4 linked regions of the Pelodiscus sinensis genome follow. The protein of the gene in region 2 binds, or shares a complex with, the protein of the main gene of each other region. Links are inferred from orthologs where the notes say so. Each region holds a gene or a part of one and is shown on either strand. Other genes may lie near its edges. The genes, in order: SMARCD1, SMARCC1, ACTL6B and PHF10.

Evidence for each region.
Region 1: SMARCC1 (region 2) and SMARCD1 share a complex: the UniProt entries of both Homo sapiens proteins name them as parts of the BAF complex. The link is inferred for Pelodiscus sinensis from reciprocal best matches to the Homo sapiens genes SMARCC1 and SMARCD1.
Region 3: SMARCC1 (region 2) and ACTL6B share a complex: the UniProt entries of both Homo sapiens proteins name them as parts of the BAF complex. The link is inferred for Pelodiscus sinensis from reciprocal best matches to the Homo sapiens genes SMARCC1 and ACTL6B.
Region 4: SMARCC1 (region 2) and PHF10 share a complex: the UniProt entries of both Homo sapiens proteins name them as parts of the neural progenitors-specific chromatin remodeling complex. The link is inferred for Pelodiscus sinensis from reciprocal best matches to the Homo sapiens genes SMARCC1 and PHF10.

What each region holds. Positions count from the first base shown.
Region 1 is NC_134729.1:6,453,499-6,460,958, forward strand, and holds the start of SMARCD1 (SWI/SNF-related matrix-associated actin-dependent regulator of chromatin subfamily D member 1), read right to left. Parts: upstream 3,015-7,460; 5' UTR 2,976-3,014; coding exon 2,820-2,975; intron 1,690-2,819; coding exon 1,502-1,689; intron 77-1,501; coding exon 34-76; intron 1-33. UniProt on the Homo sapiens protein: Involved in transcriptional activation and repression of select genes by chromatin remodeling (alteration of DNA-nucleosome topology).
Region 2 is NC_134712.1:256,776,541-256,783,444, reverse strand, and holds the start of SMARCC1 (SWI/SNF complex subunit SMARCC1), read left to right. Parts: upstream 1-3,890; 5' UTR 3,891-3,906; coding exon 3,907-4,146; intron 4,147-6,904. UniProt on the Homo sapiens protein: Involved in transcriptional activation and repression of select genes by chromatin remodeling (alteration of DNA-nucleosome topology).
Region 3 is NC_134734.1:9,007,177-9,014,161, reverse strand, and holds the start of ACTL6B (actin-like protein 6B), read right to left. Parts: upstream 3,010-6,985; 5' UTR 2,880-3,009; intron 2,847-2,879; exon of another isoform or gene 2,227-2,846; coding exon of another isoform or gene 2,211-2,226; intron 2,205-2,210; exon of another isoform or gene 1,879-2,204; intron 1,521-1,878; exon of another isoform or gene 1,447-1,520; 5' UTR 1,321-1,446; coding exon 1,296-1,320; intron 831-1,295; coding exon 754-830; intron 374-753; coding exon 208-373; intron 1-207. Other genes in the region: GNB2 (guanine nucleotide-binding protein G(I)/G(S)/G(T) subunit beta-2), read left to right, coding at 5,043-5,099, 5,347-5,385, 5,496-5,602, 5,969-6,032, 6,385-6,547, 6,704-6,770. UniProt on the Homo sapiens protein: Involved in transcriptional activation and repression of select genes by chromatin remodeling (alteration of DNA-nucleosome topology).
Region 4 is NC_134713.1:121,613,173-121,621,053, forward strand, and holds the start of PHF10 (PHD finger protein 10), read right to left. Parts: upstream 3,006-7,881; 5' UTR 2,921-3,005; coding exon 2,852-2,920; intron 1-2,851. UniProt on the Homo sapiens protein: Involved in transcription activity regulation by chromatin remodeling. Belongs to the neural progenitors-specific chromatin remodeling complex (npBAF complex) and is required for the proliferation of neural progenitors.

The sequences.
Region 1 (7,460 bases), on a different chromosome or scaffold from region 2:
GCAGAGGAAGCATGAATAAAAACCCTCACTCACCCTCTGAGGTAGAATCTTGTCAGCCATTTTCTTTTTCTTAGCGCTGTTTAAAGAAGGATACATGTATTAAGCGGGCAACCAGTTTGTTTCTCAAACAGCCAGAACACAAGAAAAGAAGCACAGGTGTGGGTTTATTCTCAGTCTTGGGACTCCGCTATGAGGGTACTTGCTCCATAACAACTGGCTCAGTCCAGTTCTCTCTTTCAAAGACTGTTTATTGTGACTATCAGTCTCTATACAGACACCTTCCTTACCCATCCCTTCCTCCCCAAGGCCAAAGCAGGACTGAAGCTCAGAAGCTCCTGCAAGACCAAGACCACCTATTATTTGAAGTATCCCAACAGATATAGATAGCTGGGGTTGCCCTGAGTTTGGAGAGGTGTTCGGTTAAATATTTATTTTGGCACAAAATGACTCTCGGGTTTGATTAAATATTAAGCTGGATTTTTTAACAGATAAGTATTTTAAGCCAGGCAATACTGTTGATATGTTAAGTAATAAAAACTCTTGCTCTTGAATAGGAGCAAAATATTATTATCTGAAGCTCCCATCACCCAGCGAAGTAGCTGCACAAAAAGTTTAAGTCAGTTTGAGCCAAAACAATTAAAGAAGAAAGTCCATGAGTATGCTGGGAGCAAGGGACACAGAATATGTCTACACTTGCACCCTCTGTTGAGAGAGGGATGCAAATGCACCTGAGCAAAATTGCAAATGAAGCACTGTGAATTTCCCACACTTCATTTGCATATTAATGTTATGGTGCTATTTCAAAACAACAAAAGCTGTGTAGACGCGGTTATTTAGAAAGAAAAACCTTCTTCCGAAATAACTGGTAAACCTCGTTGTAGGAGGAATAAGGGTTATTTTGCTCAGCTGCATTTATATCCCTCTCTTGAAAGAGGGTGCGAGTGTAGACATACTCACACAGAAGTCCCAGATGTTATGACCCAAACAACAAAGCAATGTGCTGATCTCTGATATCAGTGGTAAGCATACGAATTACTGAATATTGGCCAGTCCATTTTTGTAATGTGGCCCACTAGCATCCAAAGGGGTTTCTTTGGATATGATGGACAAAAATGTATGATTTGATCCCTATTTTCTGGAGGTTCATAAGTGGCCTATTTCAATTTAGATACTGCTTTCCTCGTGAGCATTTTTCTTTCTGAACCACCTTAGATTATGTCTGCTTGACATGGATATTGAGAGTCTCCCTAGCACTTTTGTAAGGGTCGGTGGGGTGGATGCACTGGTGTTTTGGACAAAATCTGCCTGACTTTGAATAACTATTCAGCAATGTGCTGTTAATTGGTTTGTTCCAGCCTTCTGCTTTAGAGAGGGCTGGATTTTGGTGGTATTATAATTATAGAACTTGTGAAGGAATTTGGTGTCCTTCAGGAGGAGTCACTAAGTGGTCACAGAAAAGATAAATCAACCTCATAATGAGGTGAGAAATCTGGCCTCTTACTTGTGGTTACGATTCTGAACCGCTTGCTGCTGGACCTGCTGGATTTGCTGAGGAGCTGGCCTCTTGCGGGACTGATCCAAACCAGACTGGGCCATTCCAGGCCGGACTGAGGGACTCCCACCATATCCTGGGGGACCCATGGAGGGTCCCTGAGGTGTCATGCGGCTGCCTGGCAACATGCCAGGGCGCTGAGGAGAGAAACACAGGGATCTGGTCTCCATCCAACCCAAACTTTGGAAAGATGGAGACTCACCAACAATGGGCTGTTAAGTCCTAAGTACAAGTAGGCTACCAAGCCATGTCTGCTGGGAGCACAAAGCCATGTGACTCATGGGCTTGCTTAGATGGACTCAGATCACAACAGGGCTAGCAGCTCCAGAATGGGATGCTTCCAACCAGGAATAAACGGGATTGTAACATATAAACCATAACCAGCAAAGCTGGCTATGAAGGACGATTCTTAATTTTACACACCTCTCCCCACTGTAGGCCTTATGTCCAAACCCCTGCCTACAATTCACTTCCACTCAGTGAATCATCACTCCTGACATTCCCATAAGATACTCCAACACTCACCCTTGCCTCAGCTCACTCATTTTGTCTAGGCTGCCTCTCCTCTCTCCTTGTTCAGCTCTTAGCTCCCCTCTTTCTACTCAATCTTCTCTTTAGGGTCACATTTTAAAATGAGAGTAACCCTTACTCAGTGATAGACATATAGCCGTGTTAGTCTGGTGTAGCTGAAACAAAATACAGGACTCTATGTAGCACTTTAAAGACTAATAAACCATCTTGTTAGTCTTTAAAGTGCTACATAGTCCTGTATTTTATTTCACCCTTACTCAGGGCATCCCTGATGACATTCTCACCCTGTTGTGCCCCCAATTTTACCCAAACATTTCCTCCTTACCCTCAAATACACCTCCCCATAGTTGGCCAAGTCACCTCACCATGCACTGAGGCTGTTTTCTCCCCTTGCCCTGAGCCCCAGCTTGCTGTCATTTCACCCCACATCCTCCTTCACCCCAGAGCCCTGGACTCACCGGGCCTCCTATGCCCCCAAGACACGAGGGTGCTCAGACCCCTCCCTCCGCCCCATTTACTGCCCCCACTTCAGACAAAGACCAAGCCCGGCCACCCCCTGACTCACCCTCAGGGACCTTCCTCCCTTCCTATTGTTCCCTTAGGGGCACCCCAGCCCAAACCCTTCCCCCTCCTGACCCCTCCCCCATCCCTCCTCCGCCTCCATCTCCGGCCCCTCCCTCTCCCCCGCTTCTATCCCCTCCCCCACTCCTGCCTCCAGCCCCCCCCCCCGTCTTACCGGGTAGGCGGCGCCCGGCAGGGGGGAGCGGTACAGGCCTTGCCCGGGAGCCGGGCCCATGCGGACGGGGGGCCCCGGGGTGCCCGGCCCCAGCGCTCCGGCCCCCCCGCTGCCGCCGCTCGGAGTCACCGACTGGAAACCCGCCCGCGCCGCCATCTTCTCCCAGCACAAAGCGGGGGAGGGGAGCGGAACCGGAACCGGACCCCGACCGTAGAGCGCGCCGGGCAGAGCGGCGCCTGAGGAGCCATAGAGTGCGCGGGGAAGAGCTCCGAGAGAGGCGCGGGACGCAGGCTGCTCCCCCTGCCGCTGGGAGGCCGGAGCTGCAAGGGGCCGCGTGTCGTCTAGAGCCGTGTTTCTGAGCCTTTTTTATAAGTATCCTTTTCTATCCCTCTGTCTACCTAGATCCCCCCAGTACCTACAGTTTTCAGACACAACATTTTTTTCTACCCATTGCAACACATTTATTTAAGCAACTTAATTGGAGCTGGCTGGGTGATGACATTTCTGGGTGTCAAAAGTACAAAAACAATAAAGTGCTGTAAAACTTACAGCAAAAGTTCAGTTTTCTCCAAATTGCCATTGTGTTGACATACTCCTCAGGCTTCTCTTGGGTACCCCACAGGGGAAGGGTACTTGTGCCACTGGTGGGGAGAATGGTGCAGGCAGAGACTGTGCCTGGGGGCAGTGTGGTGTGGAGGCCTTCCAGATGGGCTGTGGGAGGCAGGCACCTTATCCACTGCGCCCCTGGAAGAGTCCCCCAACCTTCTGGCCTTCAGAGCCCCCCCCCATATCTGTCCTATGTCCCAAGGGTGCCAGGTCCATCCATTGCTAAGCTTGTGTTGGGGGGGGGGCTTGACCCCTGTGCTTCTGGTTCTGCAGGTAGGTATGTTATGCCCTGCACCACTGGAGGAGACCCCCAACCTCTCTACTTTTAGGGCCCCCCTTCTGTGTCCTTTGTTCCCATGATGCCAGCTCCATCCCTCGGGAAGCTGGTGGTGGATGTCCCCAGGGGCATGGGGGAGCACTCACCATGGTAACAAAGAAAGGATAAGGGAGGTCAGAAGGGAGGGAGGTTCAGGACCGTCTCCTGTGGTGCAGTGGATAAGTACCTGCCGCTGGAGCCAGAGGTACAGCACTTGAGCCCTGCCTCCCTGGGGACAGCCACCCCAGCTGTCTGAGGGATGGAACATGCAGCCTGGGAACAAAGGGGGCCCTGAAGGTAGGGAGGTTGGGGGCTCTATCCCGTAGCACAGTGGATAAAGTACCTGCCGCCAGAGGCTGAGGGCTCAAGTCCCACCCCCACCCAATGTGGGTTCACCCAACACAAGCTTGGCAGCAGATGGACCTGGCACAGAGAGGGACAGTGCCAGGGGCCTGCCTGGGGAACAGGAGGCCATGCTTGGCAAACAGAGGGCAGTGTAGAAAGGGGCAGGGGGCTGTGCTCATGAGGGAGGGAGAGGGACAGGGACCCACAAGCACTGATGCCCAGAGCACCCTGGCTGCACCAGCAACCATCACTCCTGCTGTTAATGTATCCTAACACAAACACAGGGAATGCAAGGCCATGAGGTAGTTGGGGCTGGACCTTTATGGAGCAGAAGGCTGGACTAGGTTCTTCCAACCCTCATCTGTGAGTGAGTCTACGAGAAAGTTCTTCCAGCAGAGCCTAGCCCAGCTCTCCATGCGCTGTGTGCCCTAGGGATGGGCTGGGGCACCCTGGGGGGCAGGCCTGCGCACGTGCCATGTGCCCGGGGGCAGCGCTGCGCGCCTGGGCCCAGGGCACCAAAAAGGCTCAGGCCGGCCCTGGGCTTGTGTCCCACGCTGCCCCAGCCAAAGCTGGCTGCCTGCAGGTTCCACAGTCCAGATTTCTACCTCCCAGGGGCAAGGCAGATAATGGCTTCTAATCCACTCTGTCTGCGGCAGTAATGGAGCAGCTGGACAGGTCCACAGCAGAGTCTTAACTGAATGAGAGGAGCCCCAGGAAGCCAAAGTCCATTAGTGCCAGAGGGCCTCTTGAAGGGACGCTTGGGACCCTCTAATCTGATTGGCTCCAGGCCTGGAATATCCGGTGGCAAATTTGCTGAGCACCATTTAATTAAGTAGGAGGCTAATGTGATGCTGCTTTGTAGGGGCAGGAAGTCCTCTGTGGCTGAGGTGTGCTGGGCTTGTTTCCATACACACTGCCCTGGAGTGGGACCACAGGGCTGCACCATGGGAGGGGCCATAAAGCCAGCTTCCTGTGGTGCTGTGCATGACAGACAAGGTATTAGCACTGGGGCCTTGGCCAAACTCCTTCCTGTCTCCCTAACTGCCCACTGCAGTTTCTACCAGCTTCCTCTTTGCTTCCTGGCTGTGTGGCAGCTTTGTGAGGAGGCCAGGTCTTAGCAGCGGGAAGCCCATCCCTGCATACAGACTGGGGCCTGGCGCTGAAGAGTGCCCTTTCAGCAGGCCGGGAGCAGCATTCCCTTAAAGGGTGCGTTTACACAGCAGCTTCATTCCGGACCAACTGATGTTATTCCAAAATAACAAAGAGTTTGTCTACTCGACAAGCCATTATCATATATATAGTAGCCCAGTGTCTGTGTCTGTAACGCCGAAATGCTGGCTGTTCCCTCTGGGGGGGCGCTATTTCCTGAAATGCTGGCTGTTCCTCTGGGTATGTCTACACTACAGCACTAATTCGAACTAACTTAATTCGAATTAGTTAATTCGAACTAAGTTAATTCGAATTAGTGCATCTAGACCTAAAAACTAATTCAAATTAGCGTTTTGCTAATTCAAAACAGCATATCTACATTGAGTGGACCCTGAACTGAAGTTAAGGCTGGCCGGAAGCAGTGCCAGCAGGGCATCAGGTTAGGACTTAGGGTGTGGAGCTGCTGCCTCAGGCTAGCTGAGGGCTGTGCTTAAAGGGACCCAACCCCCACCCCGGACAGACAGTTCTCAGGGTTCCCTGCTTGCTTGTCTAACTCGATGAGGGACAGCAAAGCAGTCCTGTCTTGGAGTGCCCTGAATGCCCACACTCGGCACATCACAGCACTTGGCCATCAGACCGGCTGCACTTGCCGCAGGCTGCCATCCGGGGGCGGGGGGTCAATCGGGGGGCTGCAGGAGAGCTTCCACCCCGAGGAGCCCGCAGAGCCACCCCAGTCCTCTTCTTTAATACACCTGTAACTGTTTAAGCTTTAACCTGACTCCTGCAGTTGCTGTAACAGAACCAAGCACAATTTAAAAGAACTCCAGCTGGTCATAGGGCAGACACAGTGAGGGAGAGCTGGGCGTTTGGATCGTGTTGCCTCCAGGGGACAGATCCGTAGGGGCATCTGTCAGCCTTCCATAGGTTGCCTGCTGCAAAGGGACCCTCCCCTAGTCCTAGCAGCTAAAGACACGGGTATAATAAGCTCTCCCTGCAAACTTTGGGGCATCTATCAGCCTGTTGGCTGCCCGCTGTGAAGGGACCCCGGTCCTAGCGGCTAAAGACATGGACATAAAACTTTGGGGCACCCATCGGCCTTCCCTAGGCCGCCTGCTGCGAAGGAACCTTGAGTTCTAGCAGTTGAAGACTCGGGTGTACAGGGGCAGATGACCATTTTGCAGGGCCCAGGGCAGCACAATTTTGCGGGGCCCCCCTTTGCCACAGCGCATGTGCGTAGCTTCTTGAAGCCCGGGGCGGTCGCCCCACTCGCCCTGCCCTGTATCCGCCCCTGTGGGTGTATAACACACACACCACACACTGCCCTGACCATTGGCTGACACTCCCCCGTGGCGGCCCAGCTGAGTGGTGCAGAAGTCAGCTGAGCACCACGGCGGGTGGCAAAGGGGGGCCCCGCAAAATTGTGCTGCCCTGGGCCCTGCAAAATGGTCATCTGCCCCTGTACACCCGAGTCTTCAACTGCTAGAACTCAAGGTGGTGACGTGCGGCGTGACAGCAGCTCCAGGCCCCGCCTCCTGGCCGTGAATGTCACCGCCCCACCTCCCTTTGCCTACCACCATGGTGCTCGGCTGACTTTTGCACTGCTCAGCCGGACTGCTGCGGGGGAGCAAGCGGCCGTTTGGGCTCTGCACCCCACACGCACCCTGAACGAGAGGCAGGAGGGGGAGAAGAAAAAGAGAGAGACAGAGAGAGAGGCAGGAGGCAGAGGAGAGCTGAGAGAGAGAGAGGAGGAGGCAGTAGGAGAAGGAGAGAGAGAGAGAGAGAGAGAGCGGAGTGCAGGGAACTCTACCAGATAGAAAGAGCTGGCCTTAATGCAATTCAGTTTACCATGTGTTAATTAGTAACACAGGATTTAAAAAAAAATCATTAAGATCAGAGTTTTAGATATCTGCAACATTCCAAAACATTCCGTTAAGATAATATTTTTCTTTTTTGCCTTAAGCCATTAACACAGGGGTGGGCAATAATTTTTGATGGGGGGGGGCACTCCAAGAACTCGGTAAGTGGTTGAGGGCTGAGGAGGGGGTGCAGGACCTGGGAGGGGGTTGTGATCTGGAGTGCAGGAAGGGGTGCAGGGATTTGGGCTGTGACCAGGAATAGCAGATTGGGATGCAAGGTCTGAGAGGGGGTTGTGACCTGAGAAGGGGTGTAGGAGGGGGTGCAGTGTCTGGGAAGGTGTATGGGGGCTGGAGCAGGGGTGCAAAAGT
Region 2 (6,904 bases):
ACTTTCTTTTATTAGTTTTAAACTTGCTAACTATTAATTTCATTTGGTGTCCTCTAGTTCTTCTATTATGGGAACTAATAAATAACTTTTCTTTATTTACCCTCTCCACACCACTCATGATTTTATATACCTCCATCATATCCCCCTTAGTCTCCTCTTTTCTAAACTGAAAAGTCCCAGTCGCTTTAACCTCTCTTCATATGGGAAGCTATTGGAATCAAAAGCTTCAGTGGTACAGGCAGTCCCCGACTTACGCGGATCCGACTTATGTCGGATCCGCAGTTACGAACGGGGCTGCCCCAGAGTACACAGACTGCGGGACCTCGCGGTCCTGCCGCCCGTGTACTCTGGGGCTTTGCTCTGCGTCTCCCTGGTCTGCAGACCAGGAAGACGCAGAGCAAAGCCGCGGAGGGGCTCGGGCAGCGGGGCAGCCCCGCTGCCCGAGGCCCCCCCCCCCCACCCGCGCGGCTTTGCAAAGCGCGGGGAAGCCGGCGGAGGGGCAGTCCAGGCACGCCTGGGGTGCCTCGCTGCCGGAGCCCCCCCCCCCCCCCCCCGCGGCTTTGCAAAGCCGCGGGGAAGCCGGCGGCGGGGCAGTCCAGGCGCGCCTGGGTTGCCTCGCTGCCCGAGCCCCCCCGCGGCTTTGCAAAGCCGCGGGGGGGGGGGCTCGGGCAGCGAGGCACCCCAGGCGCGCCTGGACTGCCCCGCCGCCAGCTTCCCCGCGCTTTGCAAAGCCGCGGGGGGGGGGGGGGCGCCTCGGGCAGCGGGGCATCCCAGGCGCGCCTGGGCTGCTCCGCTGCCGGCGTCCTCAGAGGCGCTCCCCGTCTCCCTGGTCTGCTGGTCTCCAGCAGACCAGGGAGACGGGGAGCAAAGCCGCGGAGGACCCAGGCGGCGGGACGCGCAGCATCTCGGTCCGCCGCCCGAGTCTTCCTGGTCTGCTGGGGTGGGGGGGGCGCAGCTAGTACGCCCCCCCCCCCCCCCCCAGCAGACTAGGCTTTTCTCCGGACGCCTGTGGCAGAGCAGCTGGGGTGCTGCCGGTTGGTCCCGCAGCGCCGCTCTGGGTGCTACTGGTGCAACCCAGCAGCACCCCAGCTGCTCTGGTCCTGATTCAGCCGCTGCTGGTCAGTTTCAGCAGCGGCTGAATCAGGACACCTGGGGCAGAGCAGATGGGGTGCTGCTGGGTTGCTCCAGTAGTGCCGAGGAGCGGCGCTACTGGAGCAACCCAGCAGCACCCCAGCTGCTCTGCCCCAGGCGTCCCCAAGTCAGCTTCTGCTGAAACTGACCAGCGCTGACTACAGGAAGCCTGAGGCAGAGTTGCTCTGCCCCAGGCTTCCTGGAATCAGCTGCTGATCAGTTTCAGCAGCAGCTAACTTGGGGACGCTTGGGGTTCTTAAATTGATTCTGTATGTAAGTCAGAACTGGCGGTCAGTTTCAGCAGCGGCTGAATCTGGACACCAGTTCCGACTTACATACAGATTCAACTTAAGAACAAACCTACAGTCCCTATCTTGTACGTAACCCGGGGACTGCCTGTATTTGAAAAAGACAACTGGGGGCCAACTTGCCTTCTGCCTCTCAGGGAAATGAAGTACAGAAGTCAAGGGGAGTGCTCTTTTATTGACTTAGTTTGTTTTCACCAAATCTGCTGAACTGACATCAAATCTGGCATCAATCACAGCAGTGCCAATTTAGCAGCAACTATAGACAAGCTAAATGTAGAATGAATGATGAGAATGAACGAGTGAAAAGTTAAGACCCTAGTATTCGGCATAATGGATGGTCTGAATAGGAGAAGCAGACCCCACAGACAATGAGTAGATGATATAGTAGATTGCGGTGGAGCTAGTCTACAGAAACTAAGCCACTTTGCACTGGACAGGGAAAGATGGAAGGAAATAGTGAAGGAGGCATCGCACATCAACAGGCACTGAGCCCATGGTTGATGATGATGATAGACAAGCCACAAGTTACTACAAAGAGTTCTTTCCCAGATAGCTGCCTGGTGGATCTTGCCCACATTCTCAGAGGCAAACTGATCACTGTATTTGGGGTCAGGAAGGAATATTTCCCTGGGTCAGATTGGAGCAAGTTTGGTGGTTTTTGCCTTCCTCTACACTGTAGTCTACAGCATACAGCATGGGTCACTTGCAGGTTTAAACTAGCATAACTGATGGATTCTCTGTAACTTGAAATCTTTAAACTATACTTTAAGGACGTCAGTAGCTCAGCCAGCAAGCACACCAGTGGGTGGTTAAGAATCCATGGCCTGCAGGAGGATCAGAGTAGAATGATCACAATAATCCCATCTGACCTCAGAGCAACAATTCCCAAATGTTTTTTGGTCATGCTCCCTTCCTTGGTCCATTATTCCCTTTGAGCTGTGGCCAGGAGGGTGGTGGGTGCTGCAGTTGGAGCCACAGCTAAGGACTGGCTGGGAACAGAGTGGGAGTGGAGCAGAGGGCCAGGCTGGGTGGTGCTCCCTGAGCACTGTCCCACCTGCAAAGTTCCTCTGGGCCCCCTTAAAGGGTCATGCCATGGAGTTTGGGGACCACTGCCTTACACTCAATGAAACTGGACACCAGCAGTGGAGGAGAGTCAGTCCAGAGAGGAACCATGGGGGGGGGGGAGGGGAGGGAGAGCAGGACTCTGACCTGAGCAGAGATGATTCAGCCTGGTTGGGTGTGACCTAGTGGGGGCGCTGTCTACTTTTGTCATCCTCTGTTTCTGCTGGGCTGCATTGGTTAGGTGTGATTCCCAGGGCTCACTCCAGATGTGTATTGGGCCCAGACACCTGGGGAGCCAGACTCGGAAGATAACAACTCTTAAGGACATCGGTGGGGGCTGACACCAGGCTGGGAACTAGGCCTGGGAGTTGGGTCAGCCTCAGCTGGGCTAGGATGAGTGTGGGGGCTTACAGCAGGGAAGGGGGGTGCAGGGCCCAGGACCCCCCCCTCCCCCCGAGGAAAAAGGCTGTTTGCCCTCCATGCCGGTGGTAACATCGAGCCTGTGCTACGTTCCTGACAATCAATAAACCCTTGTACTGTACCAGCTGGCTGGGAGTCACATCTGGCCGTGGGTGGGGGTGCAGGGTCAGGACCCCCCCCCGTGGTGGGGGAGAGCAGGGCCCCGCCCTGAGCAGAGAGGGTTGGGCAGGGAGGCTGGGATTAGGGGAGCGGTCAGGACAGGGAGCGTGAGGGACAGACGAGTCTGGGCCAGGCCTAGAACCCAGCAGCCCCCCCCCCCCCCCCCCCCCCCCCCCCGCTTCCTGGCCAGGATAACAACCTTGCGGCGCTCTCAGCACAGGAGCGAGCGGCCTGCGGTCGGAGCCGACGCCGTGGCTGGCGCGCGCGGGCGGCCTCTGAGGAGAGCGGAACGCAGCGCCAGGCGGGCGTCGCGCGCCCTCGCGAGGCGGGAAAAGCGACGCGGGAGCCACTGCGGGCACGAGCGCAGGCGCAGCGACGGCTGGAAGAGACGCTGGGCGGCGAAGCGACAACGAGGCTGGCAGCCCCCCCCCCGGCCATGGAAATTCAAGCCACACTCTCCCCACCAGCGTCCACGCGCCGCATGCGCAAAGCGCGGCACGAGCGGCTTGGCCCACTAAGCGCATGCGTACAGACTTAGTGCGGTGCGGCCCGTGCCGGGCGGTTGAGATTTGACGCATGCGTGCACAGCAGGGTTGGGGGGAGGGGCGTGCGGTCTGCCTGGACCTCACGAGCGAAGAGAAAAGTGGGAGTCTGGCGCATGCGCAGAGCTAGCGGGCTCGTGTGGCGCGTGCGTTGAGCGCGGCCCAGGGTGCCGACGCAGGAGCGGTGGCGCCCGGGGAGAACCGGCGCGTGCACAGCGGTGGCGGGGGCAGGGAGCGGGGTTCCCGAGCATGCTCCAAGGGGCGGAGCGTGCGGGGCTCGGCGCATGCGCGGCGGGAGGCGAGTGGGAGGCGCAGGGCCGCGGTGGCGGCGCTCGGCGAGGGTAACAATGGCAGCGGCAGTGACGGCAGGCGGCGGGCCCGGCCCCGGCGCGGCGGCGGGGCTGGCGGCGCTGTCCGTGGCGCGGCGGAAGGACGGCGGCCCCACGGGCAAGTTCTGGGAGAGCCCGGAGACGGTGTCCCAGCTGGACGCGGTGCGGGTCTGGCTGGGGAAGCACTACAAGAAGGTGCGGCCCGGCCGCGGGGACTGGGGCGCTGGGGGGCGGGGCGGCCCGTGGGGCGCTGAGGGGGGCGGGGAAGCGCCAGAGGAATGGGGGGGTAGAGGAAGGGGCGGCCCGGCCCGCGGGGACTGGGGCGCTGGGGGGCGGGGCAGGGGGCGCTGAGGGGGGCGGGGAAGCGCCAGAGGAATGGGGTTAGGGGGTGAGGAAGGGGCGGCCCGGCCCGCGGGGACTGGGGCGCTGAGGGGGCGGGGAAGCGCCAGAGGAATGGGGGGGGGTGGAGGAAGGGGCGGCCCGGCCCGCGGGGACTGGGGCGCTGGGGGGCGGGGCGCTGAGGGCGGCCCGTGGGGCGCTGAGGGGGGCGGGGAAGCGCCAGAAGAATGGGGGGGGGTGGAGGAAGGGGCGGCCCGGCCCGCGGGGACTGGGGCGCTGAGGGGCGCGGGGCGGGGCGGCCCGTGGGGAAGCGCCAGAGGAATGGGGGGGGGGGTGAGGAAGGGGCGGCCCGGCCCGCGGGGACTGGGGCGCTGAGGGGCGGGGCGGCCCGTGGGGAAGCGCCAGAGGAATGGGGTTAGGGGGTGAGGAAGGGGCGGCCCGGCCCGCGAGGCGCTGAGGGGGGCAACCCGAGGGAAGCGCTCCAGGAAGGGGCGGCGGGGCGCCCCAGCTAGGCCGGGAGCGGTCACAAAGGGCCAGGCGCTCCTTTGCGGGGGGGGGGGGGGGGCGGCTTACCGGCCAACGGGCGGGTCCCGGGTAACGGGGCCGTTTCCCAGGCTGCGCGGCTCCGACCCTTCCCCCCCCCCCCCCCCCCCCCCCCGGACTGGAAGTCTCCAAAATCAGTTCGAGCCGGTTGCGCGACTTCAGGGCGAGCCCCCCCGCCCCCCCCCCGCATCTGGGTCTTCGCCGCGGTGTGTGCGCGCAGCTGTGGGCACGTGCGCCGCGGGCTGGCCTGTCACCGGGCACTCGCGGGGCCCCAGCCCAACGAGGGGCGGTTGTGCCGAGCGTCGTCACACACTGGCGAGAAACGGGGGGGGGGGGGTTAAGTTGCCCCCTTTAAAAAAAAAAAAAACCTGCATTGCTGATGCGTTTGAGTTTAGGTGCTTGTGCGGCCTAAGTGACTGTAGTATCCGAATATCTTCATACACTCCTATGGGAGGAGGAGGTGAGGTGCTGTTAACCCATTTTACAGATGAGGATTGACTCAGAATCACTTGCCCAAGGCCTTGCAGAGAGTCTGTGATAGAGTAGGGAACTGAACCCAGGTTTCCTGGCTAATACTCTAACAGTCTGGATCATCCTTCTTTTCTATAATCTTATGGGGTTCAGGGCTCTGTTTCCTAAATCTAAAAGAACAAGAACTGAAAAGTTTGCTCAGTGATCACTTTTGTGAGGAATGTGGCTTCATTTGCATTCAGACTTCTGCTGGTTTGACTAATGGTGTTTAAGTCAGTGTATTTAAACCAGAGCAACCCCCCTGTGTAGCTTTATTTTATTTTGAGTGACTAATATTGATTTGGGTGAAGCAGATTCCTTATGGAATCTTTGAAACCAAAATAAAATTGTCTACACAGGATTTTGCTCTGGTTTAACAAAATTGTTTTTAAACTGATTTGTAATGCCAGTATAGCTTTTTGATTATATATCTTTGTGGCTAGTATTTTTGTAAAGTCAAACTCCTGCAATTTAAATAAAAACATTTGCAAATGCCTGCTAAAATGTAATTTAAACATGCTAATCAGATTCTTTTTAAATAAAGTTTTAAACGCTTAATTATGTCTCTTGGTTTTGTTATGCTTTTCCCTTTTCCTTTCTTACTCCAGGTCTTTGTCTATAATAGCATGTAAAGTTTTAACTTGTCCTTGCATTATCTTTTCCAGTGTCTCTTTTTTCACCCCATGTTTTTCCATTCATTTCATTCTCTATCTTATTTTCTTTTTACTTCTCTCTATATTAAAAGTTGCAGAGGGGTACCATGTAGTTAGTAACTTGAAACAACTTTTAAGAACAAGTAGACCTGTAGCACCTTTTGTTCATCTCTAAGGTGCCACAGGTCTACTTGGGCTTTTTTTTTTTAAGTTCTCTCCATATTGTATTTCTCTAGTTCTATCCCATCAGCTTCTCTCTCTTTCTGTGCCACATTTCATGCGGGCCATTGAAGTTTTACCAAATTCTTAGCACCAGAGGCCTTCTAGCCAAAGTCCCAGATGAGTGTTGAGGAATATTATCTAGGATGTAGCCCAAATAAGCAATCACATATTTCTCCATCCTTCACCCAAGCTGCTGGGAAAGGGAATTAAGTGTGAGGTTCCTCCAGGATTTCTGGGTCCTGGAAGAAAGGAGCATTCTCTCACTCAGTTCTCCAAGATTTCCAGATCAGAGTCCCTAGCTATTGTGAGAGAAGATTATTTATCCACCCACTTATAATAGCCTTAGTTTGAGTCCTCCATCCTCAGTTATCCAATTTGTGCCTGCCCCCTTGCTGTTCAGAACTTTACACAAGCAACTATCAAAGTTGATATTAACTCAGTTCTTTTTAATTTCACTGTTGTACATAAGATTCTAGATTGCAGCTATGGAAACTAGCAAGAATGTTTTTCACTCTGCTATAGTTTAAGACTCACATCAGGAGAGGCATTGGATCCATCATTGTGCAGGCTTAAGACAGTAATGCATTGATTATATGTGAAGGTAATTTTAACCATAATGGCCAGATACTTAATGATTTTCTTACATGAAAATTTAGATTCTGCAAAGTTGTTGGGAATCTTTTCCA
Region 3 (6,985 bases), on a different chromosome or scaffold from region 2:
AGGTGGGGTATGATGGGTCTGCAGCATGGGCATAGCAGTGGGTCAGATGGAGGGACCATGGCAGTGCATAGCAGGGGGTGTGGGGAAAATGCCATGGGAATCTGGTGGGGACACTGGTTGAGGGGCCATGGCTGGGGGGCCCTGTGGCTGGGGCAAAGCAGGTTGTCCCATGTAGGAGGGGAGGAGTCCCGGGAGCCCAAGCCTCACTCATGCCATTCTTGAGGGGCGACAGGACTTCTGTGTTCTCCCGCGGGACATGCAGCGAGTTGGTATCGATGTAATAAACCTTCCCTGGCTTCTTCTCCTTCTCCCCATCCAGCTCCAGCGCCGCCTCTTCCGGGGCCAAAAGTCCCACTGTGGTGGGGAAATCTGCCTGCAATGGGGCAAGAGGGTGACATGCAGGGCTTGTCTCTACGGGCACCGGCTCCCACCCGGCTCCAGGGCAAGGGACTGGCTGGCTCAAGGGGGCAGGGAATGGAGTATGGGGCTTGTCTCCTCTAGGGGGCGCTGGTTCCCATCCAACCCCAGAATAGGAGGGTTTCATAGGGCCGTGGTGTCCAACCAGTTCTGAAGCACTATACGGGCTACTGCTATAGACAACTAGCCACACTCAACCAGCCAAATAGTCACATTGCTCAAGCCACATACCACACTCAACCAGCCAAATTAGCCACATGTGGCTAGTGGCTAACATGTTGGACATCGCGGTCATAGGGGAAAGTTGAGGGGGGTTCCAGGAATGCCTGGATGTACCTTTGGGCAGTCTTCTCCAGCATAACCAGCTCGCACTGAAAATGAGCCGATGTCAAAAACAAGAGCTCCAACCTCATCTGGGAGAGAGATAGAAACAGTCACTACCAATCACCTATGCAGCCACCTCTGGGACAAGGACCCCTCGCCCAGCACTGAGATGTGGCCACCTCTGGGACAGTGTATCTGGTTATCCAGGGACCCTTCACTCAGAGCTGAGATGCAGCTACCTCTGGAGCGGGGTGGCTGGTTACACAGGGACCCCTTGCTTGGCACTGAGATGTGCCAACTGCCGGGGTGGTGCACTGACCACTCTGCAATGCTGCACAGAGGCACAGACAATCCCCGCTCCAACAGACAATGTCTGGATCTGGAATTTGCTCAGATGCTAATGTTCATGCGCCAAGAAAAGGGGCCAGCCCTGATTCCAAGGGGAGAGTACCCCCTGCTGACTCTAGCCCCTCCCTGCAGCAGAGCACCCCCTGTGGGTCACGTGCCAATGCTGTGAAGAAAAAAGGGGGGCAGCCTTAAAGAGGATCCCTTACCTCCTCCATAGACACCCCCACTCATCCTGGCTCTGCTACGCCCCCTGCCCCGTACAGATCCTTGAGGGAGGTCCGGGATGTAGGGGAGGCTGGGTGCAGGGGGCTATTCAGCACCCAGGCGACTGGACAGCGACCGTGGAGGGGAGGGGGGCTATAGAGAGAGACGTAGAGGGGAGCTTCCACCTCAGCCAATCACAGGCTGCACCCCCCCAACCGAGGCAGCTCCTGATTGGTTAACAAAATAGACAATAAGTGATAATCTGGGGTTTTCTTAAAGAGGCAGGTAGGTGATTAGTGTCTGGGGAGGGGGTTAGTTCTCAAGTAGCAAGCATTATTCCCCTCCCAGAGTCAGGGAGAGAACCCAGGAGTCCTGGCTCCCAGCCCTCCACCCCACTCTAACCCACCAGATCCCACATTCTATTTAATTACTCCAGGTACCTCTCCAAAAATTATTATCCAAACATCCATCCCTGCCCCTCTTCATCCAACCATACATGCTCCCACCTCCTCTAGCCAGCCCCTTTCAACCTCCCCCCACTCTGCAATTCCATGCCCTGGGTTGTTCCAAAACAGCAAAATTCACCTAGAGGAGGGGACAGATCCTGAACTAGGATGTACAGGAATTCAGGAGGGGTTCAGAGTCAGGACTCCTGGGTTCGCTCCTGGTTCTAGGAGGGGAGTGGGGGCTGGTGGATCAGAGGGGAGGGGAGGGCTGAGAGTCAGGACTCCTGGGTTAGTGGTTAGAGCAAGGGAGGCTGGCAGCCCGGACGCCTGGGTTTGCTGGGAGGAGAGTGGGGGCTGATGGGTCAGGGCAGGGGCGGGGGCTGGGAGTCAGGACTCCTGGGTTCTCTGGGAGGCAGGTGGGTTAGAGCAGGGGGGACTGCGAGTTGATTCCCCCTTCCTAGTTTGACTGACCCATTGCAGAGAACATCAGGGTTGGTACAACTCATCTCTCCCCTCTGCTTTCATTAGTTGGTCTCGCCCTGTCCTGGTATCTCCCATCTTTATTTCCTCTCTCCCTCCTCCCCCCCCCCCCAGAAGCTGAGTTGTCTCCCTCCCTCCTCCGCCCCCCAGGAAATGAGCAACCTCCCCTGCTTGTTCTCCACCCATCCAGGACTGAACCCTGCCTGCCCCTTCTCAGAGAGAGTTGGTATCTCCCGTTCCTACTTGGGGGGGGGGGTGCTCTGACGGGTCTCCCTAGAGAGTTGGTATGGGTCATTTTCTCCTTTTCCTCATTGGAGCATCGGTCTCACGTCACCCCGGAATCGATTTGGTGTATCCTATTGTTAGCCCCCTTCTAAATACAGTGGGTAGTCTCACCTCCCCCCTTGAAGTGCATTGGTTTCTTCCACCTCTGACCGCCCCCTCCCTATAGTAAATGGTCTCACACTCATAGAATGTAATCAGAGAACACTAGAACTGGAAAAGACCAGTTCCCTACCCTCGTGGCAGGACCCAGCACCATTCTAGACCGTCCCTGACAAGCGTCTGTCCAACCTGCTCTTAAATATCTCCAGATCCCACAACCTCCCTAGGCTGGGAAGTGAATTGGTTTAGCCCATTAAAGGATGAATTCACTCTCACCACAGAAACGAATCCATAGCACCCCTCATATGGAAGGTGGTCTCACCCGGTGGACCAGGAAGTGGGTTGGTATCTCCCATTCCATAGCACCCCTCTATATGGTAGATGGTTTCTCCCTCATTCCTCCCCCGCCCCTTTCATTTGGTGCGTCTCGGGCTCTGGGCGCGGCCGCCCGCAGCCGCATCACCGGGGCTAGCAGGCGGGGGGGGGCGGATCGCTCCGCCGCTGAGGGCCGAAGCGGAGCCCGATCCGGATCCTTCCGCCCAGGGGAGCGGCCGCGGAAAGGAGTCCCCGGCCCCCCAGAAGCAGGCTGCGCCAGGTAGGAGGGAGGAGAAGGGGGCCCCAGCTGTCAGATCGGCAGGGGCTGGGCGCAGTCACGAGCGGGCCCAGGCTCCCGTCCCAGCTGCGGCCCGGAGAGCTGCCCACGCTGCGCTTCCCCCCTCGCAGCCCCGCACCGGGAAAACAGCCCCCCTGCTGGGGAGAGAACCCAGGAGTCCGGGGCTGCCGGCCCTTCCCCCCCCTTCCGGGCCGGGGACCCAGGAGTCCGGGGCTCCCGGCCCTTCCCCCCCCCCCTTCCGGGCCGGGGACCCAGGAGTCCGGGGCTGCCGGCCCTTCCCCCCCCCCCTTCCGGGCCGGGGACCCAGGAGTCCGGGGCTGCCGGCCCTTCCCCCCCCCCCCCCTTCCGGGCCGGGGACCCAGGATTCCGGGGCTGCCGGCCCTTCCCCCCCCCCCCTTCCGGGCCGGGGACCCAGGAGTCCGGGGCTGCCGGCCCTTCCCCCCCCCCCTTCCGGGCCGGGGACCCAGGAGTCCGGGGCTGCCGGCCCTTCCCCCCCCCCCTTCCGGGCCGGGGACCCAGGAGTCCGGGGCTGCCGGCCCCTCCCCCCCCCCTTCCGGGCCGGGGACCCAGGAGTCCGGGGCTCCCGGCCCTTCCCCCCCCCCCTTCCGGGCCGGGGACCCAGGAGTCCGGGGCTGCCGGCCCTTCCCCCCCCCCCTTCCGGGCCGGGGACCCAGGAGTCCGGGGCTGCCGGCCCTTCCCCCCCCCCCTTCCGGGCCGGGGACCCAGGAGTCCGGGGCTGCCGGCCCTTCCCCCCCCCCCTTCCGGGCCGGGGACCCAGGAGTCCGGGGCTGCCGGCCCTTCCCCCCCCCCTTCCGGGCCGGGGACCCAGGAGTCCGGGGCTGCCGGCCCTTCCCCCCCCTTCCGGGCCGGGGACCCAGGAGTCCGGGGCTGCCGGCCCTCCCCCCCCCCCCCCCTTCCGGGCCGGGGACCCAGGAGTCCGGGGCTGCCGGCCCTCCCCCCCCCCCCCCCCTTCCGGGCCGGGGACCCAGGAGTCCGGGGCTGCCGGCCCTTCCCCCCCCCTTCCGGGCCGGGGACCCAGGAGTCCGGGGCTGCCGGCCCTTCCCCCCCCTTCCGGGCCGGGGACCCAGGAGTCCGGGGCTGCCGGCCCTTCCCCCCCCCTTCCGGGCCGGGGACCCAGGAGTCCGGGGCTCCCAGCCCTTCCCCCCCCTTCCGGGCCGGGGACCCAGGAGTCCAGGATAGTGCCATTGCCCTGGGGGGCATTTACTGGCTGTGGAATTTCTTACGGAAGCAAATGGGATCAGCAGTTATGCCCAGTTCGGACAATCTGCTATGCCCCGGGCCACACTCACCCACTGCCTGCCTCCCAGCCAGTCAGTGGCTGGTGGGAGCACCCTGCTATCCTGTTCCCTGCCCCCCATTTTTGCTCCATCCTAAATCTTGTCTGAGTCTCCTATCCTGTTGCCTTGGCAACCATCAGTTGAAGGGAGCTGGGGCTAAGCCTCTCCCATCACCACAGCAACTACTGATTGTCCTCAGCGCCCCCCCCCCCCGCCCCCCAGATGCTGTAACACACTGGAAGGAACACAGAGAATCCGCAGTGCCAGACACCTGCCCCCCCTCAGCCACTCTGGCCCCATGACTGGCCAAGAGAATGGGAAAAATAATGCTTGGGAGCCAGAGCTCCTGAGTTCTCTTCCCTGGCTCTGGGAGGGGAATGGGGACTGGGTTGGGCCTGGTAGGGCTGGGAGCCAGAACTCTCCACAGCAGGTCTAGGGGCCCCATATCCCACTAAGCATTCCTCCTCTGTGCAGGTTCCCGCCAGCTGAGCGGAGCCGTGGCGCCAGCGCTGCCCCCCCACCACAGCCATGAGTGAGCTGGAGCAGCTTCGGCAGGAGGCAGAGCAGCTGCGGAACCAGATCCGGGTGTGTGGAGCCCATGGGGGTTGGAGCCCCCAATGCTGAACCCAGGAGTCCTGGCTGCCAGACTTCTCCCCCATGGGGGTCTTTATGGCTACTGTTTTTTTGGGGGGGGGGTAGCGCTTCCTGCTGTCCACATGGGGGCACTAGGAGTCGACACCCGAGTTCTGTCCCTGGCTCTGGGAGTAGGGTTAAAGCAAGGGGGGTATTGGGCAGTTCAGATTTTAACCCAAGGTCTCCCTCCCCCCCCCAGGATGCGAGGAAGGCATGTGGTGACTCCACTCTGAGCCAGGTGAGCAGTGTTGGGCCTGTTACTGGCATCCCCATGCAGCCCCTTTCCCCTGCCTCCAGGTTCCCTGGCTGGGTGCGGGTCCATGCCTCACCTGTCCGCCCCTCCCCTAGATCACAGCCGGGATGGACCCTGTGGGACGTATCCAGATGCGGACACGACGCACCCTGCGAGGCCACCTGGCGAAAATCTATGCCATGCACTGGGGCACTGACTCCAGGTGAGAGCTGGGATGAGCGAGCTATATGGGCATCCTTCACCTAGCACTCTGATGTGGCCACCTCTAGGGCAGGGCATCTAGTTATACAGGGACCTCTCTCTCAGGCTGAGATGCAGCCACCTCTGGGGCAGAGCATCTGGTTAGAGAGGGAACCTGGCTCAGTGTTCGTGGCCAGGAGAGGAGGATCATTTTCTCCATTGGCCTGGGGGGGGGGGGGGGGGGTCGCTTTGGTTTTGATTGGCCTTGGCCTAGTTACTGGGAGGGGCAAGGCAGGGGAAGGGCTGATAGCAAATAATGGGAGTATTTTGAGCCACCACCCACAGCGCAGTGCCACTCTGGCTCATCAGAGGGCTCTCTGCCTCTTAGGCTGCTGGTCAGTGCATCGCAGGACGGGAAACTCATCATCTGGGACAGTTACACCACGAACAAGGTGAGGGAGTTGACTGGTGAGATACTGGGGTAAAGGGTCCCAGGAAGGGGGCAGCTGACAGGATACTGGAATAGATGGGCTGAATGGATTTGGCAGGGAGGATACCAGGGTAAAGGGCCTCTGGGTGGGGGAGGGGGGAGGAAGCAGGTGTAGATTTAGATGGGTCCCAGGGTAGAGGGGGGAGAGACAGCAGGTGGGATACTGAGGAAGAGAGGTTGGGGGGGTACCCCCAGGATAGCAGGGTAGATGAGCCTGGAAGTGGCAGCAGGCTGGATACTGGCTTAGATGGGCTAGGGAAGGGGACATTTGGCTTCATACCTGGGTAGGTAGAGTAATTTCTCCTTTTCCCCAGGTCCACGCCATCCCACTGCGTTCGTCCTGGGTCATGACTTGCGCTTATGCCCCATCAGGGAACTATGTGGCCTGCGGGGGCCTGGATAACATCTGTTCCATCTACAGCCTGAAAACCCGGGAGGGGAACGTCCGTGTCAGCCGAGAACTGCCAGGGCACACGGGTGAGCCCTCGACTGCTAGGATTTACTCCTCCCTCGGGGAGGGAACAGGGGTCTGGTGGTTACAGCGTGGGGGCTGGGAACCCAGATTCCTGGATATGCGCTCCTGCCAGTACCCCGGCTCCCAGCTAATCAGCATCTTGCTGTCCCCCCCGGAAGGTTACCTCTCCTGCTGCCGCTTCCTCGATGACAATCAAATCATCACCAGCTCCGGGGACACCACCTGGTGAGCCTCTTCCCCTTCTTCAGGCCCCTGTGCTTGGGGGGGTGTGTAGAGGAATCAGCTCCCCAGAACCACAGCTTGGGGGGAAAGGATAAGGGAAGGCTGGGTCTGTGGAGGTGCCCAAGGGAGAGGCTGGAGTAGGTGGGGCCAGTGGGTGGGCAAGAGGGTAGGGATGGATTGCAGCTGGCAGGCAGGATCAGTGGGACCGACCATGGAGT
Region 4 (7,881 bases), on a different chromosome or scaffold from region 2:
GATAGACAAATTCAGACTATAAATGAAGTGCAAAATTAAGTGCAGATAATCAGCTATCACTAGAAACTTTAATATTAGTATTGCTCTTTTTCTGCCAAAGCCTGTGGTGTTCAAAATGAGAGTAGAAATTAGTGAAAGATATTTACTTGATGCAGTCTTGTTTATTTAAAAAAAACTACACAAACATCCTGTTTCTCTAGATACAGAAGAAATAAAACAAGAAACAGCTTCTTTTGCTCACACCACCAAGGGCATTCTTTTCATGCCACACCTCAACACAAAAACTGCCCCTAGTTTCTTCAGGTCAGCCACCATGCTTCCAGACACACACACACACACAGATACACACACCCTCCTCAATACTCAGCAAAAGCTCCTGGGCCCATTCACACACTCCTTTTCTCTTATTTAGCAAAAGGAACAAGGAGTCCTGTGGCACCTTACTAACAGATGTATTGGAGCATAAGCTATCGTGGGCAAAGACTCACTTTGTCTTAGTTAGCAGTATATGCTCTTAGAGTTATGTTAACTGAAGGATGAATTTACACTTATCAATTTCAATACAGTTTTAACTCAACCCAAAACAAATTTTCATCCAGCTCATAACACAAGATTTTTTCCAGAGGAGATGGTCTAGTTCAGGGGTTTCCAAACTTTTTTCAAAGAGGGCCAGATTTGAAGAAGTGAACATGCGTGAGGGCCATCCCTGCACTCTCAGCCCCAAGGTGGAGGGCCCGCGGGGTCGGAGGCGGGCGGAGAGCGCAGGGCACGCCGGCCTCACGGCGGCCCGGGGGCAGGGCGAACCCGCAGCCGAGCGGGGGAGCGGGGCTGCGGACGTGCCCTACAGGGCAGGCTCTAGGACCGCGGAGGCCATGGGCGGCGGCGGCGGCGGTGCGGCCAGAAGCGGCGCGCTGGGTGCGCCAGTTCCAAAGAGCGCCGGGGAGCCAGGAGAGGGGGAGGAAGCGGGGGCCGTATTAAACCGGAATACGGGCCGCAATTGGCCCGCGGGCCGGACTTTGGACATGCCTGGTCTAGTTCAACCATAGCTATTAGACTTGGGAAAAAAGGAGCTAGGATACACAGATCAAATCAAACCAATGATCAAAATTAGAGATGTAAGTGATTAGTTGACTATCCAATAAGCATATTGGATAGTCGACTAGTGACTTGACTAGTAGCACCCCTCCGCCCGCTGTCTCTATTAGAGAGAGGCAGCAAGAAGGGGAGGAGGAAGAGCAGGAGCCAGCGCTGGGAGGAACTGGCTTAAAAGCCAGTTCCTCCCAGCACAGGGGGCAGGGCAAGGAGAGCACAGTGGAGAACTGGTGCAGGGTTCTTGCTACATTTCAAAAGAAGCAGCACTGTGGGAGTAGAGGGCAAGGGAGGGGGGACCTCAAGCAGTCAGCCCTGTGCTTCCTACTTTTGAAATGTACAAATGCCCTCCTCAGTCTGCTTGACTCCCCCACACACGCTTTGCTTTTGAAATGTACAAGAGCCCCAGGTGAGGGGAGGCTCTTGCACATTTCAAAATCAGGAATTGCAGGCCAGCAGGGGACTGCTTGTGTCCCCTGCTTGCCCTCTGCTCCCACAGCACTTCTGACTTTGAAACATAGCAAGAGCCATCAGGGCTCTTGCTACATTTCAAAGGCAAAGGTGCCCTTATTGACTGAGGGTACATCTACACTTGCTCCCTAGTTCGAACTAGGGATGCAAATGTAGGTGACCAAAATTGCTAATGAAGCGGGGATTTAAATGTCCTGCACTTCATTAGCATGATCTTGCCAGCATGTTACTCTGCTCAACAGCTGATTCGAACCAGGAAGTGCACGAGGAGTAACGTTAATTCAAACCAAGGGGTTTGGTTCGAACGCGTTCTGGCACGCACTTCCTGGGTCTAATCAGCTGTTGAGCGGAGTTAACGTGCCAGCCAGATCATGCTAATGAAGCGCAGGATATTTAAATCCCCGCTTCATTAGCAATTTTGGTCACCTACATTTGCATCCCTAGTTCGAACTAGGGAGCAAGTGTAGATGTACCCTAACTGAATAGCTGCTGAAAATTGCATAGACTATTCGATTAGTTGATTAAACTAAATTTATCAGTCTTAACCAAAATGATCCTTTTTGGACTTAAATCTAATACTCTATTCTCAGTTCTTCCATGCACTCCCTGTATGACCAGTCCACCTTCTGTGCACTTTTGTTTCTCCATCTGTATAAATGAGATGATATTTAACCTCCTAGGTACTGAATAAAAGTACTCTGTATTATTATTAGGCCTTTTTAGACCACTTGCAAGCTTGAGTTATCCAAGATACTTTCAGACAGCATTTGCTAAGGTCACCTCTGAATCTGAAGGAAGGGGAGATGCAGGAAACAGCTGCACATCACTGGAAAGACCCGTTGCAAAGATACTAGCCACTGCTCATCTCTGGCCCACGGGGGCGGCTTTCAGCTTCCTGCGAGATTGGCCAGTCCCAAACCTAGAAACTGGTCAACTTCCAGGCCAGGAAGCCAACCCTGGAGGAGCCCCGGGAGCTGTATCTCCTTTGCCCGGGCTTAGCCCTTCTGGCGAGAAGGCTGAGGAGCTGTAGCCCGTTCGCGGGAAGAGGCATCCAGGGCTCCCTATCCCACCCCCGGGCCACGGCTCCCTACGGGGCTGGGGTCTCTGTGGGCCGGGGGGGGGGCGATGGGAACAGGCCGGGCGGGAGGTAGCTGCGCTACGGGCTGGCTCCCGCCCGGTCACTTCCCCCATAACACGGGGGGGGGAGGGTTGGTCTGATTCCCCCCGCGCGCTCCCGGGAGAATCCCGCCGCGCAGGGGGAGGGGCTGCCAGCCCGGCCCGCCTCTCTCACCTTCAGGGACTGGGCCCCGGGCGTGGCCGGGTCGCTGTCACAGACCCGCGGGGACAGAACCGCCGCCATAGCCGCCGCCCGCTCCCTCCGCTGGGCGGGGCGAGGAGCCGCAGCGTCCCCGGCGTCGCGCCCGCCCCGCCCCCTGCTGGCCGGACCCGCAGTGCGCCCCGCCCACCCGACACCCCCCTCTCGGAGTCACCTCCCCTCGGCCCTCCCCCGTGTGCCTGCGCCCCCTTCCCCGCGGCCCCGCCCACCAGGGCCTTCCCCACGTGCCTGCGCACCCCCCAGTGCCTGCGCCCCTTTTCTCTCTCACTCCCGCTTTCTAATTAGCCTCTCCCGGCGGATCCCCAGCGGCCTTTACTGGGGGGGGGGGTGTTAAACCAGTCTCAGCCCTAAGGCCAAGCCCTGAGACTGTATCACCAGACACAATTTCTAAGTAAAAGACCCCTCACTCCTGGTCTGCCACAACGCTCCAATGTCCAGGCTTGCCAGATGGTTTCAACAAAAATACCAGACACGCTTGACATTCCATCACAATCTGCATTACAGCTGATTTAGAAAATACCCGACATTTCTATTTTCTCCATTTGTTTTCTGAACAGAAAACTCAAATACTGGACTGTCCCGTTCAAAACCGGACACCTGGCAACCCTACCAATGTCAGGGTTTGGTTTTTGTTTTTTCATGCACAGGTTCTCCCTTTCTCATGGGCTGTGTCCAGACTCAGGGGTTTTTTCGAAAAAAGTAGCCTTTTTTCGAAAAAACTTCCCCTGCGTCCAGACTCAAGCCGCGTTCTTTCTAAATTAATTCGAAAGAACGCGGCTTTTCTTTCGATGGCGGTAAACCTCATTTCACGAGGAAGAACGCCTTCTTTCGAAAGTTCCTCTTTCGAAAGAAGGCGTTCTTCAATGTAAATAGGGCTTCTTCAAAAGAGAGCATCCAGACTCACTGGATGCTTTCTTTCGAAAAAGCAAGCCGCTTTTTTGAAATTTCTCCGTGCAGTCTAGACGCTCTCTTTCAAAAGAGGCTCTTTCGAAAGATGCTTTCGAAAGAGCCTCTTTCGAAAGAAGCCTGCAGTCTAGACATAGCCATGGAGAGTTCTTTTGCCAGAACACCAGCGAGGGTTAGTTAACTTTACATATAAATTGTTGTCAACCCTAACTGCTCAGTCCTATGACAAGGGGCTACAGCTGTCAGCCCAAGAAGTGGTAGAGGAGACCCCCAGGTAGAGCCAGACCAAGCCCAGGCGGTGCCTCAAGTGAGGAGCATTTTGGCACAGTCTCCATTTGTTAAGCTTTTGACTTGTTTTTAATGCATTTGTAGCCAGTTTTATGACTCTGATGCACAATTTGCATGTGTGGTTTATCGCTGTCTAATCCGATAATTTTTGCATGCTAGGATTCAACAAAACTTAAGTTACGTCCACACTGCAATCGTATTCTTTCTAAAGTAAATTGAAAGAACAGAGAGGTTTTTCCAACAGCGGTACTCCTCTTTCTACGAGGAAGAACACCTTTTCCGAAAGAGCTGTTTCGGAAAAAGGCATGTGTTGATGAAGAGGGGGCATTTCTTTTGAAAGAAAAGGTCTCCAGGAAATAACATAGGCCCAGGTGGACACTCCATCCATACTAATCACAACTCTATAGTTCCTGTCTCGTGCCAGCTCTTAAAGCTGCAGACACCTGGGCCAAGCCTTGTGGCAGGAAGCTGGCCATGGAGCAGCACCCTTATCGCACGGCTCTGTCTGCCACACACTGGGAGGTATGGCAGAGCAACAAGCCCCCCAAGATCCCTATAGCCCTCACAGGGAGCAGCATCAGGGCTCCCAAGGCCCAGCATAGGGCAACAAATGCTACGCACCCTCCTGGTCTGGGGCAGAAATCCTGTCCCTCCTCAAGTTGTGGGGGGAGGAGGCCATCCTGCAGGATCCCCACTCCCAGAAGCAGAATGCTGACATATATGGCCAGATGGCTCTAGCCAAGAGGGGACACCACCCCCACACTTTGGACCAAGTCAGGAGCAAGGTCAAGGAAGCTGCGCCAAGGATATGCCAGAGACAGGGAGCACAGCTCTTGCTCTGGAGTAGGACCTCACACATGTCCAAATTACAAGGAGCTGCACAGAATCCTGGGGGATGGTGAAGCCCTTTGCCCACCCATAATGGTGGACTCAGGACTCAAGACACCTGTGGTCACCTAGTGTAGCCAGACAGGAACCACCCTGTAACATCCATCTTTGCTGGCCTGGAAGCATGCAGGGCACACAGACCAGTAAAACAGCATAGTCTTTGAAAGCCTTGGACAGAAGGCCCGAATATGCAGGCTGCTGTGACCCTGGATGGCTGTAAACAGAGATACGCTAATTGCTGACCAAGAGGCTGCCGAGGAGTGCCCGTGACTGAAACCTATATTGATACGAACACACACTGTCCAGGGGGCAGGAATCTCCCGCCCAGTAAAAAAATGTCCAGTACTCACAATTTAGTTATCTCTCTTGCAAGTGTAAATTAAGTTGAAACTCCCTTGTAGGAACTGGCGTCACAAAGACAGGCCAACACAATTTGGCATCTTAGATAAGAAAGAAGATACGGGCCCCTATGGCTACGTCTAGACTGGCACGATTTTCCGGAAATGCTTTTAACGGAAAAGTTTTCCATTAAAAGCATTTTCGGAACAGAGCGTCTAGATTGGCACAGATGCTTTTCCGCAAAAGCACTTTTTGCGGAAAAGCGTCCGTGGCCAATCTAGACACGCTTTTCCGCAAAAAAGCCCCGATGGCCATTTTTGCAATCAGGGCTTTTTTACAGAAAACAAATCTCAGCTGTCTACACTGGCCCTTTTGTGCAAAAGTTTTGCACCAAAGGGACTTTTGCCTGAATGGGAGCAGCATAGTATTTCCGCAAAAAGCACTGATTTCTTACAGTAGGAAGTCAGTGCTTTTGTGGAAATTCAAGCGGTCAGTGTAGACAGCTGGCAAGTTTTTCCGGAAAAGCAGCTGATTTTCTGGAAACACTGGCCAGTCTAGACACAGTCTAACTGTTTAAGGTTTAACCTGACTCCTTCAGTTGCTGTAACAGAACCAAGCACAATTTAAAAGAACTTCAGCCGGTCATAAGGGACAGATATAGGAAGAGCTGGGGCATTTGGATCGTGTTGCTTCCAGGGGACAGATCCGTAGGGGCATCTCTCAGCCTTCCCTAGGCTGCCCGCTGCGAAGGGATCCTGTATCTTAGCAGTTAAAATCTGAGATGTAATAAGCTCTTCCTATAAACTCTGGGGCATCTGTCAGCCTGTTGGTTGACCTCCACGAAGGGATCCCAATCCTAGCAGACTAAGACACAGATGTTAAACTCCTCGGGGCGCCCGTCAGTCTCTCCTAGACTGCCCACTGCGACGGGGTCTTGTGTGCCAGCAGTTGAAGACTCGGGTGTAACACACACACACACACTGCCCTGACCATCTGCTGACATCTAGCCGGAGCTCCTTGATGAGGAGGAGGACAAACAGCAGCTGCAGGATGAAGAGGACACAGCCAGTACAATCACCCTCACCCTGGAGCCAGTACCCCAAGCCCTGGACATCTCCCAGGTATCCTCTGATGACGGGGAGGGATCATCAGGTGAGTGCTCAGTTTTACACACATACCAGGGCAGGAGAGGGAGGTGCAGAGGGGATGAGGAGCGATCGTCGCTCAGCCTGGGCAGTGTGCTTCACTCTGTGCACGTGCAAGCACATGCAGCGGCAGTGTGTACCACATGGCCTCAGAAGCTAGCCCTGGAGCACCCATGGTCTCGTGCTCACAGGCTGTGTGGAGGACCCACACACGTCTGACCAATGGGGAACTCCCTCCCACCACCAGACACTGCTGGAAGCAGACTGAGCACACGGGCACAGGCACAGGCACAACCCTGAGCACTTTGAGGGGTGCCACATACAGCACACGACCATGCTTGCATGCTCAAGGAACCATCTGCTCTTGTGGATGGCACTGCCAGGTCAGCTGTGTATGCAGCCCCCATGGAAGGCCAGGCTGCTCCAGGCCCCTCTCCCGCCCATGGGATCCCACTGTTGCTGGACACTTCCCTTGCCAGCTTGTCTGTGAAGATGGAGTGGGGTGGTGGGAAGCGTGGTCCCTGGGGCTCGTCCTGCAGTGAAGGCCACACATGGCCTGGCTCACGAGACATCACCGTCCTCTGGCCCAAGGACTGTTAGTCTCTGCTCACACAGGAGGGCATGGCCTCATGCACAGTGTCTGCTTGGATGACTGACCACCTCTCCCTCTTTTCCTCCACAGCTGGACTAGCCATCACTGAGGGGTGCTCCATGCCATCAGAGGCAGCTGCCCGATCCCGCTGGAGTTGCAAGTGCAGGAGGGTCCATGAGGACCTCATGAGGGAACACGTGGCCATCCTGCGTGACATGCAATGAACCCTGGCCCAAAAGGTCTGGGATGAAGCCAAGTGGTACAACTGAATGTGGGACCAGCTTGTGCAGCAGGGCAAAAACTTGTGTACCTCCATCCGGGAAGTGATGGCACACTTGGCTCCTGTTCCCATTGTAGCCCTCCCCACTCTAGCCCCTTTTCCCACTCTAGCTCCCCCTGCCATGCCTATGCCCCCTCCGCTGACCCCCCCAGCCATCTCGGACCCCACTCCAGCCCTCCAAGTTTGCCAAGGTCCCCAGCAGAGGTGTAGCAAAGTGGGGAGGAAGGGGGACGGTTGCCCCCGGGCATCATGCTAGGGGGGCACCGGGCTGGGGTGGGACCAGAGCTCACACTGCTCTGGCCCACGTAACGCTTTCAACCAGACCCAGGAGCTGCTGGCTAAGTGCTGCCAGCTCTCTACATACTGTGAGCTGAAGCAGCTAAGCTGGGTGGGAGGAGCAGTGGTTTTAATGGTAAGTTCCTCCGGTGCCTGGCTCTCCGGGGGGGGGGGGGGGGGATTTGACTGGGGGAGTGCTCCCAGCACTGGGGGTGCCTTGCTCTGGGGGAGGAGGGGTGAGTGCATGGTGGGGGCTGGCTTTGGGGCAGGG